Linked DNA regions of Nothobranchius furzeri. The protein of the gene in region 1 binds, or shares a complex with, the protein of each later gene. Links are inferred from orthologs where the notes say so. Each region holds a gene or a part of one and is shown on either strand. Other genes may lie near its edges.

Region 1 (3,753 bases):
CTCAACCTGTTGAGCTACTGAGGTGAGCTACATGTTACAGAGGTGAGGTTAGGGGTTTTCCACCAAAGCAGTTGCATTGCTAGTTCAGAGCCATTGTTTGCTAGATCTTCCTGTTTCGACCACTTGGAATGTGGAGATGGTTAGGGGGCTACCACACTGAGCATCTCTGCTCAACTCTACACCACACATGACTGCAGAAGAGTCACTTCAGCAGAAGGCTGTGGTTGAAAAGTCCCCTCTCCATCCTTGTCACCATTACCAGTGACCTACTGACAAGATGCATCTGTAGAGCAACAGGAAGTGACTGCAACTTGTGGTGAAGATGGCCAAGTCACTGGAGGCTCACTCAGACAACAGAACCAAATCTGACCAACATGACTGGCAGGTGGGTAGACACAGGGAAGAAAGACGGCGAGAGAGAGAGAAATACAGATTTTTTTATATTTATATACATATAAATATACATATATTGAGAGAGAGAGAGAGAGAGAGAGAGAGAGAGAGAGAGAGAGAGAGAGAGAGAGAGAGAGAGAGAGAGAGAGAGAGAGAGAGAGAGAGAGAATGACAGACATGAGAAAAGACAAACACTAAAACAGGCATTTACCTCTCGTGGCTTGTTGGGCATCTTTCCTACTTTTAGTTTCAGCTGGGGGGGTCCCTCCACCGTCCACTGCGGATTCTGGGGGAACTCCTGATCCGTCTGACGCCATTCCCAGTTCAGAAAGGCTCCTACGTCCCTGTTGGGCTTTGCCTTTTCCTTTACAATGAAACACGGAAGTTACTGATGAGCTAATAAAGTAAACACACATGCTGTAAATTCAACATTATACAATGTTAATTACATTTAAATCACAAATACAAACGTTTTAAGAAATGGTGTTTTATATTTATTAAAAGTACATTACCACACGGTCCTCTGTAGCTCCGTACTTTTTAGCACTCTAGAGAAACGCTGACCAACTCATTCGTAACCTTTACCCTCCTCGAACTTAACTCTGGGTAATGTAGTTTTATGTTGTCTTTCGACGAAACACGCTTCGTAAAGTCAAATGCTAGCAACACATTTTCCCATATGAAAACTATCTGCTCACAGACGACATTATTTTATTTTAAATAAATCATAAAATAGTAATTATGATTAAACTTAATCAACTCCGTGACGTACGTCATGATTTGTGTCCGAGCGCGTGACTCGAGGTCACGTGACTGTGCTGTTTGCTAACAACTCGAGACTGAGACGAGAAAGTGCTGAGAGGATTTATTCTCTTGAATTCGCGCGTTTTATACGAGACATGTAGACGAAATATTTGATTTAGCGTCACGCTTTTGTTGTTTATACATTTTTAACACAAACGAGTGAAGCAGCAGCGAGCTCCAGTCTAACTCTCAGTGCTAAAGGTGAGATCCTCTCGTTGCTGCTGGTTAAAATGGCTTAAACGGGTGTTAGCTTGTGAATAAAAACTATGTCATAAATTACGTTGATTAGATTCTCATAAACGCTTGATCCGTTTCTCAGATGAATGCTCTGGTAGCTTTGTGTCACTTCTGTGAGCTCCATGGCCCTCGGACACTATTCTGTACCGAGGCGCTACACCCTCCATCCCCAGACCCCTCCTCTCAGGTGGGCACCCCGGTTCCAGGGGACAGAGATGCTGATCGGGAGGGTGAAGGTCTGACCATGAGGGCCAGCGGGTCTGTGTCTCAAAGAGGGGAGATGTGTGAGGTGAGTGGGCATGCGTGATGGGATCTCACCCACAGTAAACCTTGGAGAAGGTTCATTCAATTCAGTTTATTTATAGTCACGACAACAGTCGTCTCAAGTCACTTCACATAGTAAACATTTCTATACAAAGGAACTCAGCAGATTGCAGTGCTCACACTAAGCAAGTGTGTAGCGACAGTGGAGTGGAAAACTCCCTTTTAGCCCCAGAAGAGCCAGGCTCAGTATGAGCAGCCACCCGCCACAACTCATTATGGTTTAAGAAGATAGAGCAGCAACATTATTTAATAATCCTGTAATCGAAGTTCTCCTTTTCCCTCCTGTCCATGCCTCACAGGGATGCCGATCTCTACCTGCGTCTCACCCAGGCTTCGTGAGCATCGATGATGAAACAGGAATTCGCTTTGTGAGCCATCAGCACCCCAGACAGTCTCAGCTTTTCAGTGTAGTTCGTCAGGCTTGTGTACGCAGTCTCAGCTGTGAGGTAAACTCTACCTGATCTAACTGAGGAGGACCTTTTCTAACCTCCCCTCCTCCAAAAACGCGAGTCTTTTTGTTGTTGGGTTTCAGGTGTGCCCTGGACGTGAAGGGCCGATCTTTTTCGGTGATGAACAACACGGGTTTGTGTTCTCACACACGTTCTTCATCAAGGACAGCCTGGCCCGTGGGTTTCAGCGCTGGTACAGTATAGTTGTAGTGGCCATGGACAGGATCTACCTCATCAACTCCTGGCCTTTCCTGTTACGACACCTCAAACTCACTATACAAAGTCTGCAAAGCACAGCTCTAAAGGTAGAGCCTAAATGTAGACTGTGCATTCATTTTTTTTTACTGGACAAACACTTTGTCATTTTAATAAGTCAGTTTGTGCTGTTTTGCCATCTTTTTGTCCATCAGGTGTTTGACACTGAACAGGGTATTTGTCCCCAGCGAGCTCTGAGGATGAACAGCGTGTTTTCTCCTGCGGTTTTTCCACATCAAAGAAGTGGCAACGCAGCCCGATCGCTAACTTCTCTCACTCAGCATCCCAATCTCTGGGCCAGCCTGCATTGCTCCTTCAGCTGGTGAGTTGAGATAGACTTTTAATAGCCAGCCATTGTGATTTCTCCACGTTACTTTTATGACTTACCAAGCTGATGTGTGTTTTCACTTCCTTTTTAGGTTACTGAAAGCCTGTGGTTGTCGTCTGACAGAAAAGCTCCTTGAAGGAGCCCCAACAGAGGACACGCTGGTTCTTCTTGAGAGAAAAACAGGTAGAAAGACATGATTTCATCAGACATTCACTGCTATGGCTAGTGTTTTTGTTTGTTCAACTAGTCAGCCTGAAATCCGTAAGAGTGAATCACAGAGTCGATCGGGAAAGGCATTTGATCCAGGAAAACATGACACACCACTTCACAGTTAAACCCCGGTTTGTCGAGATTTAGAAAGTGATTAAAAGACTTTTGGAGAATTTTTGGGGCTCGGCCCAGACACGACTGTGGAATGAACTTTGTTCATTGATAAAAAATAAAAATAAATGTCCAAACAAAAACCTTTTTTTTACATGATTCTAAATCATTTAATGGAAATGATCAATGTTTTCTTCAAAAACCACAGAGCAGCTTTGCAGTAGTCACAGCCTGGCAGCCCACAGACATTCCTGGGTGTCTCCTTCTAGCAGATTATCTAATGCGACCCCCCCCCCCCCCCCCCCCCATATACCCTATGGGCCAGCTGTTCCCAGATCAGCGCAACAGGGTTCTGGCACGCAGCAGAAAGAAACATGATATTTTCAAGTGATCTCAAATATTTGTCTGGTAATGTAGATGATAGCTAGCCTGGCCGGCCAGACTCGTCCTCTGTTTAATTCTGCACAAAGAGTCTGGTAACTCACAGGCGGAGAGGCACTTGAGGGGCGGGACTAGACAGCTCAAAAATAACCAATGAGAAAAAAGACGTACATGCCGACTGTACCATGCAACGCTGTAGTTAAAAAATGGCGTCTAGCAACGGCGCAGACATCTATTATTCTTTTAAAGTCAAAGTTAAAG
Region 2 (3,753 bases), on another chromosome or scaffold:
AAGAGGACATTGGCTTTTTAATTTTTTATTCTGTAGTTCAACTTTGGACCCGTTTTTAATGATGATGGGGTTATTTAAATGTCTACGAGGTTATTAGGGGAAATTAAAAAGGGCTTGGAGTCTCAAGAAAATATCTCAGCTGCCTTTTGGGAAAGAAATGAACAACATTCTGGAATCTAATGCCAAGAACCGAGCATGTTCAGTTCAAAGTCACAAATGGCATTGCCTTTGGTAAGTAAATAGAAACTGGAGGAACCAGATAAGCGTACTGGTTTTAGCAACCGCGATGAAGGCTCGGACCCGGATGCTAATAGCTGCTGGGAGACAGTGAACCACTGGATCAGATTCAGAACCCTGAGTCTCTGGTTCTGATCTCTCTCAAAAAGCTTTTTTTAGAGTAATTGATCTCCGTACACATTAATCAGAACCCCCAAAGGTACATCTTAAATACCCCGAGATAGATTTTTAAAAAGAATTACAAGTCAAGCTAAAACCCGGTCAGTGCTCTCACCCTGACTCAGACTCCAGGCACACGGTCGGGGTGACTGTTGGGTCTCTGGTGAGCGCCATAGCTTGTTTGGACAAAACAGACACAACACCACCATGTTCATCAGACAAGGAGCCACGACCTAAAAGAAAAAAGAAAAGAAACACGCAATGAATTATTTAAATGTCTTAAAAAAAGGAAATCAGTGCATCTTTCAAACAGTCATTTTCTGTGATTTGTGTTAATTCCAAACCTGTATACAACAATGACCTCCTTATGAAGGATTGTTAACATATTACAAACATTTCTGTCCCACTGCTGTTATTTAGTCCAGACTGAGGATTTCTGAATTCTGGGGTCTCTCGAGGATCTGAATCATGTTGAACTCATTGTTTGGTTTCTGTCTTCTGCATCTTTTGACTATTTCATTTAGGTTTGTCCATGTACCAGGGAAACATTGCTACTGACTACACAAAACAATACTCATGTTTACCCACTTCCAACAGTTACATCATAACCTTTTCAAAATAACTTTCAACAAGACCTAAAAAGATAATAAAAGTATGAGGACGCTAACAAAGAGCTTAGACTTTGCTGGATGCCTCTGTTATAAATATTAATTAAACCGAACAGAAAAAATATATATACTGATATATCCATCATTTTTCTTCCAATTATCAAAGTCTGGGTTGCTAACAGGTCCAGGAGCGAAGCTCAGATTTCTCTGATCTCAGTGACTCTCCATCTCCATCAAGACAGCTAGAGGGCAGACAGCCCCTCCAGCAAGTTCTATGCTCCAGCAACCGTCAAGCTGTGATTCTTCAGACCACATGATACCTGTCAGCTGCTGCAGGAGTCCTCTGGGAAGTAAAATAATTACTTTATATTATCATCAGTTGTTCTGCTTTGTGTTTCATTGCACAGCTGATGAAAATGGACTGGATATGTTCTGAATTCACAGCCTAAGTAAAATTTAGAGCATGTTCATCTCCCTGAAGTTTGATGAATTGTAGAAGAGATCAAAGTTCAAACTAAACCATGGAAGCCAAACAAGTAACACAGAATCAATTCCACGGAGTATTCACTTTCCCAATGACAGTAATTGTTGTATGTGAATAATGTTCATAAATGACCTCACTAACTAACTGCGTGGTTATTAAGCATTTAGTATTTATTAGTTTATGAGTAATAATCAACAATAAACAATTATAAGCATCATTTTGGATTGGTTGTGTTTAGAGAATTATAAAAACATTACATTTTAATTTTAATTATACCTCATTAGCCTTTGTGATTAAATTTAATTACAGCAGCTTCCTGTTGACCTGTTAAACAGCCAGAAGAGCTCATTCCATCAGAAATGCTAATCTCATTATGCTAACAGTGCAAACACTGTGAAGATTTTCTGGCATGTGAAATAAGTTGAGATTTTAATGGTTGAAATGTATGATTCACAGTAACTTCAACTATACTGTAGTATGTATTTCAACCTTTACAGATGAAAATAGCTAAACTGAAGGAAATAATATTATTTGTGTGTTACATTAATAGCTTTTGCTGCAACTAAGTTATTTCATTATTCAAAAAAAAAAGAACACGACACTGACGTAGCCTTGTAAAAGCTAACTAAACCGAATATGTTTCATACATTTTGCTGTAAATCTTTTTTAAATTAATCTTACAGCCCAGGTTGTGTCCTTGGTGATCTGTGCAGAGCACACCGACAACTGCTGGATTCTTCATGCTACAAAAAAACAAGGAGAAAGGCTTTAATGAAACAAAAAGTGAAGTACGTCAGCAGTTAGAGTGAGATTTTTAACGTACGTGTCATCGAGATGCTGTTCAAGAGTCGACTCCATCGTTAACAAACGAAAAGAGAGAAGGTTTAATTGTTTACAGTTTCATCGACGTTTCCGGTTAGAGTCAGCTGACCGTCACGTGCGCTACGAGTCACAACGAGGACCAAAAAGTGTGACGCGAAAGAGAAAGAGAGAGAGAGAGAGAGAGAGAGAGAGAGAGAGAACGCAAAATCTTTCCATTTACATTACATAAACAAAATAGGCATAGATAGATAGATAGATGATTGATAGATAGATAGATAGATAGATAGATAGATAGATAGATAGATAGATAGATAGATAGATAGATAGATAGATAGATAGATAGATAGATAGATAGATAGATAGATAGATAGATAGATGATAGATAGATAGATAGATAGATAGATTGATAGATTGATAGATAGATAGATAGATAGATAGATAGATAGATAGATAGATAGATAGATAGAAAGAATTAGCATTTTCCTTCAAGTTTTATTAAATTTTCCAATAATAATAATAATAATAATAATGTTATGGGCGGCACCACCTCATCCCCCGTCACACTGAACACTGGTGCACCGCAGGGGTGTGTGCTGAGCCCTCTCCTGTACTCACTCTACACCTACGACTGCACGGCCACGAGAAACTCCAACATCATTGTGAAGTATGCGAACGACACCACAGTGATAGGTCTCATCACCAATCACGATGAGACGGCCTACAGGGAGGAGATCAGCGCCCTGACCCACTGGTGTCAGGACAACAGTCTCACCCTCAACGTCACAAAGACAAAGGAGATGATAGTGGACTTCCGGAGGAGCAGAGGAAGCAGAGGAATACACCCCCCCATCACCATCAACGGCGACGCTGTGGAGAGGGTGAGCAGTTTCCGTTTCCTTGGAGTTCACCTGGCAGAGGATCTTACGTGGTCAGTGCACACGGAAAATACAGTGAAGAAGGCACAGCAGCGCCTCTTCTTTCTCAGAAGACTGAAAAGATTTGGCATGAGCCACCGTATCCTCAGGACCTTCTATTGCTGTGCCATTGAGAGCATCCTCACTGGATGCATCTCCACCTGGTATGGCAACAGCACCGCTTACAACCGCAAAGCTCTCCAGAGAGTAGTGCGGTGTGCAGAAAGGATTATTGGAGGTGAGCTTCCCTCCCTCCAGGACATCTATAAGAAGCGGTGCCTGAGGAAAACGGGGAGGATCATCAAGGACTCAAGTCACCCCAGCCATAAACTGTTCAGACTACTTCCATCAGGAAGGAGGTTCTGCAGCATCCGGTCCAGAACCAGCAGACTGAGAGACAGCTTTTTCCATCAGGCCATCAGACTGCTGAACACTTCACAGACACCTCACCCTCACTACTGAAACTCCAACATTACACATTCCATACTGTACATTAATGCCACTGTTTTGCACATACCAGCCTCTATAT
Region 3 (3,646 bases), about 16 Mb from region 1:
AGGTTTGGGTGATTAAAATTTTTATTTTGAAAGCTGAGACTTTCTTTATCTGGCTGCAGGTGAGAAAGTATATTTGATGCTAATGCCTCAAGAGAAAATCACTAACTGGTATCAATTAAAACTCATTAGTTGATTAAATGGAGTTAAACAGAATGCACATGCACTCGTGAGTTTTCTTAGCTTTTAAGTTACCCAGATCTTCTGACTTATTAAAAAAGGTTTTGTTTTTAAAGTATTGGATACTGAAAGAGTGAAAAGTTTCATCAGATTTTTGTGAAATCTGTGATTACTGAAAGAAATAAAATTATCTGGTGATGAAACTCAAAGACAAGCAAGGTAAGCTTCTCTAAACCCGCAAATTCTCCCTTTCACAAGATTTTCAGAGCAAATTTAAGTTTATCTCACCTGATACTGCATATTTAAAATTGTTTAAAAACGTTCAGAGGTGTATACGAGGGTGAAACACACCCAACCGTCACCAGCTCAAAGCAGGATTTAAAAGAATGGGTGACTCTGAGCCAGTATCTCTCATTTATCAAACAACCTTGACATAAAACACAAGTAAATAACAATCTCAACTGCATTTTTCAGAAAGATTCATATAAAATCTCCACACACGTTTTTATCATGATGTACATCTGTGACTCCTAAAAATGTTCAGTTTCACATTGAACAACAAAACTATGACCGAATGGACCGATTCCAAGTGAAAACTGAAAATGGAATCACATTTCAGCTGTACACACACACACACACACACACACACACACACACACACACACACACACACACACACACACACACACACACACACACACACACACACACACACCCCTCCATTTAGAGACATGGCCCTTTGTACACTTAGTGTTGGACAGGAGGGTTACAGCAGTCCACCGATGACCTGAACAGCTGATTTCTTCTTCAGTTCAGACCAACAGAAGCGTTGGTCGGATCTTCACTACGATGCGGCCACTTGAGTCAACGGTTCCTCCAGATACTGAACCAGAGCCTCTGCCTACAAACACAATAAAGCACAATTACTGGAAAAGATTAAATCTGGTACGACCTTTAAACTGATCAGAAACTTCAGCCTCAGTTCAGATTTAGCTGGGTTCTCCATGAGCTGCTCTAGCTGGACAAACCTGATGAACCTCATCCACGTGCCTCCCTGGGTCACTCTAAAGGACTTCCTGTTTTAAACAGTGGAACAGAAGTCTAGAACCACTCAGCACATTCCTCAGAAATACTAAAAGTGGTTTAATCTGTGTTTAAATGATTAGTTTCAAATGATTTGCACATTCAATGGTTTATTTAATGATCTGCCCTTACATTTTAGCCCTTTAAGTATAAAACGTTTTAGTTAAGACTTACGTTTAATATATGTGAACAGAATATGTCAATAGAAAGTGTTGAAAGGGTTAAAAGCAAAGTTAAAAGCAGTTTTCTTTGCCATCCAAACAACTGTTGTAAAATAATGCTTTAAACTCAATTGACAGAAGAGCTCCAACACATAAAATCTTTACCAATAAAAAGCAAAACGTGGGAAACAATTAGAAGAAAAGGCCCCGAACTCTCACCTTGGCTTTCAGCATCCCGAATCCCACAGTCTCTTTGGCATATATGCACAGCAGCAGGTTGGCTACACGAGTGATGGCCACTCTTCCCTCCTTAAAAAAAAACAAATACACAGAAGAAGGTTACAATTTGAGGTCAGCCTAATGTTTTAGCCTGAATCGGAGCTGTGTTTCTCACCATACAGTCCATGAGGATGAAGGTAAGCTTGTCTTCGTTGAAGGCTTGGTGGCCATTCTTGTCGTAAGCTGCCCAGATGTTGCTGGCGATGGCAGCTGTTACGCGTGCATCGGTATCTCCATAACCAGAGTAAGCCAGGAGGGAACCTTCATTATTCAGCAAGCTGAGAGGATAAACACGTGACACATACTAAGACAGCCTACTCATAAGTTATCTGTGTTGTTAGAAATAATCTTGATGTATGTTTAGATGGTGCAGCTAATGCCTCATCATACAATTAACATTTAGAAAGGTTGACTATTTTAGACACTAATGTGTAAATTAGAAATATTTTATAAATCATCTCATTGAAATTGATCATTATAAACCGAGGTATTTGTTAGGATCTGTTGCAACAGCGTTCTAATCTGTGACATTATAAAAACAGCTACGATAAAAATCATTAAATGCGCAAGTTTTACATTCAAATAACTAAAATTATGTCTTTTAAGCATTAAGAGTTCCCAAAAAACAACGCTTATTTTTCTTTGGGCGAGCTTTCCTTGTACAAAAAACGATAAGCAGCTAAGAGTCAGAGTAAATAGCATCTTAGCATCTCGTTAGCTTGTCGCTAACTCGTACTTACAGAGTGCTCTGGACTCCGTTTGTGTTCGCTTGGCTGAGGACCTGCGTCAGAGCTTTGGGTCGCAACATCGCTGTCGACCTCACCAAAGAATAAAAACGGTTTTAATAATAATAAGAAAAAAACACGAAGTATTTTGATAGTATGTTGATGTACGTGAAGAGCAATGCGTCCAGGCAGTCAGCTGACTTGTCTTTCCGCATTTCCGGCTTCCTTCGCATTGCACTTTGGGAAATGTTGTCTCGCGGTCGTAACTAAAAAGGATTTTCATTGGCCGTGCTCGAGTTGATGGCCTCGCCTGGAAAACAGACGAGAGCAGACGGAAGCAGCAGGGGGAGTGGCTGAAAGCCGGCGTTTAGGTCGGACACAATTTCCTGCATGTGTAGGATGGCTGAAGATATCGCGTTAGAGTTACTTGTTTAATTTTCAATTTTAATTCTGGTGCCTGTTAGCAGCTGAAACACATCCTCACGTGCTTGTGGATATCATGTATTGTATATGAAGACATGATTGTAATAATAAGCAGTGTTGGGAACGTTACTTTAAAAAAGTAATTAGTTATAGTTACTGATTACTTTGTCAAAAAAGTAACTCAGTTACTAACTGAGTTACAAGATCATAAAAGTAACTAATTACCAACAAAAGTAACTACTTAGTTACTTTTTTCATTAAAGAATGCAAGAATTACTACAATAGTAAAATATAAATGACTAATGACTGAACATAATAAAATGTATGTCCAAATGTTTTATATAAACCTGAATAATTTAAACAAATATGCACTTAACAGGAGGAACTACTAATAGGAACATTACACTAATCTAGACTATTAAAAGGTCACTGTGTGATATTTAACAAGACCCCAATCAGCTAAAATTTAAAATTGCAAATAGAAACACCTGTAAAGGTTCCCGAGCCTTTAAATGGTCTCTCAGTCTAGTTAAATTACAGAAATAAATGTAATTTTGCACAGTATTCTAATTTTTCCAGCTTCACATAATTGTGTGTTTTTAGCAGCATTTCTGTTGCTGCTAATCTAGTAACGGTTAAATAAATAAATAAATATCCTTTAAAATGACACTAGAAGAGGCACAGATCTGATGGAGGACTTACATTTACTAACTTGGGTCAGACCCAACCACAGAAGAGCTGAAGCTGGGTGGTGAACACACACAGTTCTGATAACACCTGAGCTCCATGACGTCTGAGACTGATGCATCAGTGTTACAGCGGGACTAAAGACATGATCAGAAACAGGTTACAGCTGGA

What was found.
Region 2: flcn (region 1) and lamtor5 share a complex: the UniProt entries of both Homo sapiens proteins name them as parts of the lysosomal folliculin complex. The link is inferred for Nothobranchius furzeri from reciprocal best matches to the Homo sapiens genes FLCN and LAMTOR5.
Region 3: flcn (region 1) and lamtor2 share a complex: the UniProt entries of both Homo sapiens proteins name them as parts of the lysosomal folliculin complex. The link is inferred for Nothobranchius furzeri from reciprocal best matches to the Homo sapiens genes FLCN and LAMTOR2.

Annotation. Positions count from the first base shown.
Region 1 is NC_091745.1:76,768,917-76,772,669, reverse strand, and holds the start of flcn (folliculin), read left to right. Parts: upstream 1-1,191; 5' UTR 1,192-1,398; intron 1,399-1,516; coding exon 1,517-1,723; intron 1,724-2,057; coding exon 2,058-2,204; intron 2,205-2,290; coding exon 2,291-2,512; intron 2,513-2,617; coding exon 2,618-2,784; intron 2,785-2,881; coding exon 2,882-2,973; intron 2,974-3,753. Other genes in the region: leng9 (leukocyte receptor cluster member 9), read right to left, coding at 605-710. UniProt on the Homo sapiens protein: Multi-functional protein, involved in both the cellular response to amino acid availability and in the regulation of glycolysis.
Region 2 is NC_091755.1:27,982,298-27,986,050, reverse strand, and holds the start of lamtor5 (ragulator complex protein LAMTOR5), read right to left. Parts: upstream 2,454-3,753; 5' UTR 2,347-2,453; coding exon 2,312-2,346; intron 2,232-2,311; coding exon 2,170-2,231; intron 630-2,169; coding exon 512-629; intron 1-511. UniProt on the Homo sapiens protein: As part of the Ragulator complex it is involved in amino acid sensing and activation of mTORC1, a signaling complex promoting cell growth in response to growth factors, energy levels, and amino acids.
Region 3 is NC_091745.1:61,225,400-61,229,045, forward strand, and holds lamtor2 (ragulator complex protein LAMTOR2), read right to left. Parts: upstream 2,666-3,646; 5' UTR 2,449-2,665; coding exon 2,381-2,448; intron 1,919-2,380; coding exon 1,756-1,918; intron 1,671-1,755; coding exon 1,581-1,670; intron 1,019-1,580; coding exon 962-1,018; 3' UTR 520-961; downstream 1-519. UniProt on the Homo sapiens protein: As part of the Ragulator complex it is involved in amino acid sensing and activation of mTORC1, a signaling complex promoting cell growth in response to growth factors, energy levels, and amino acids.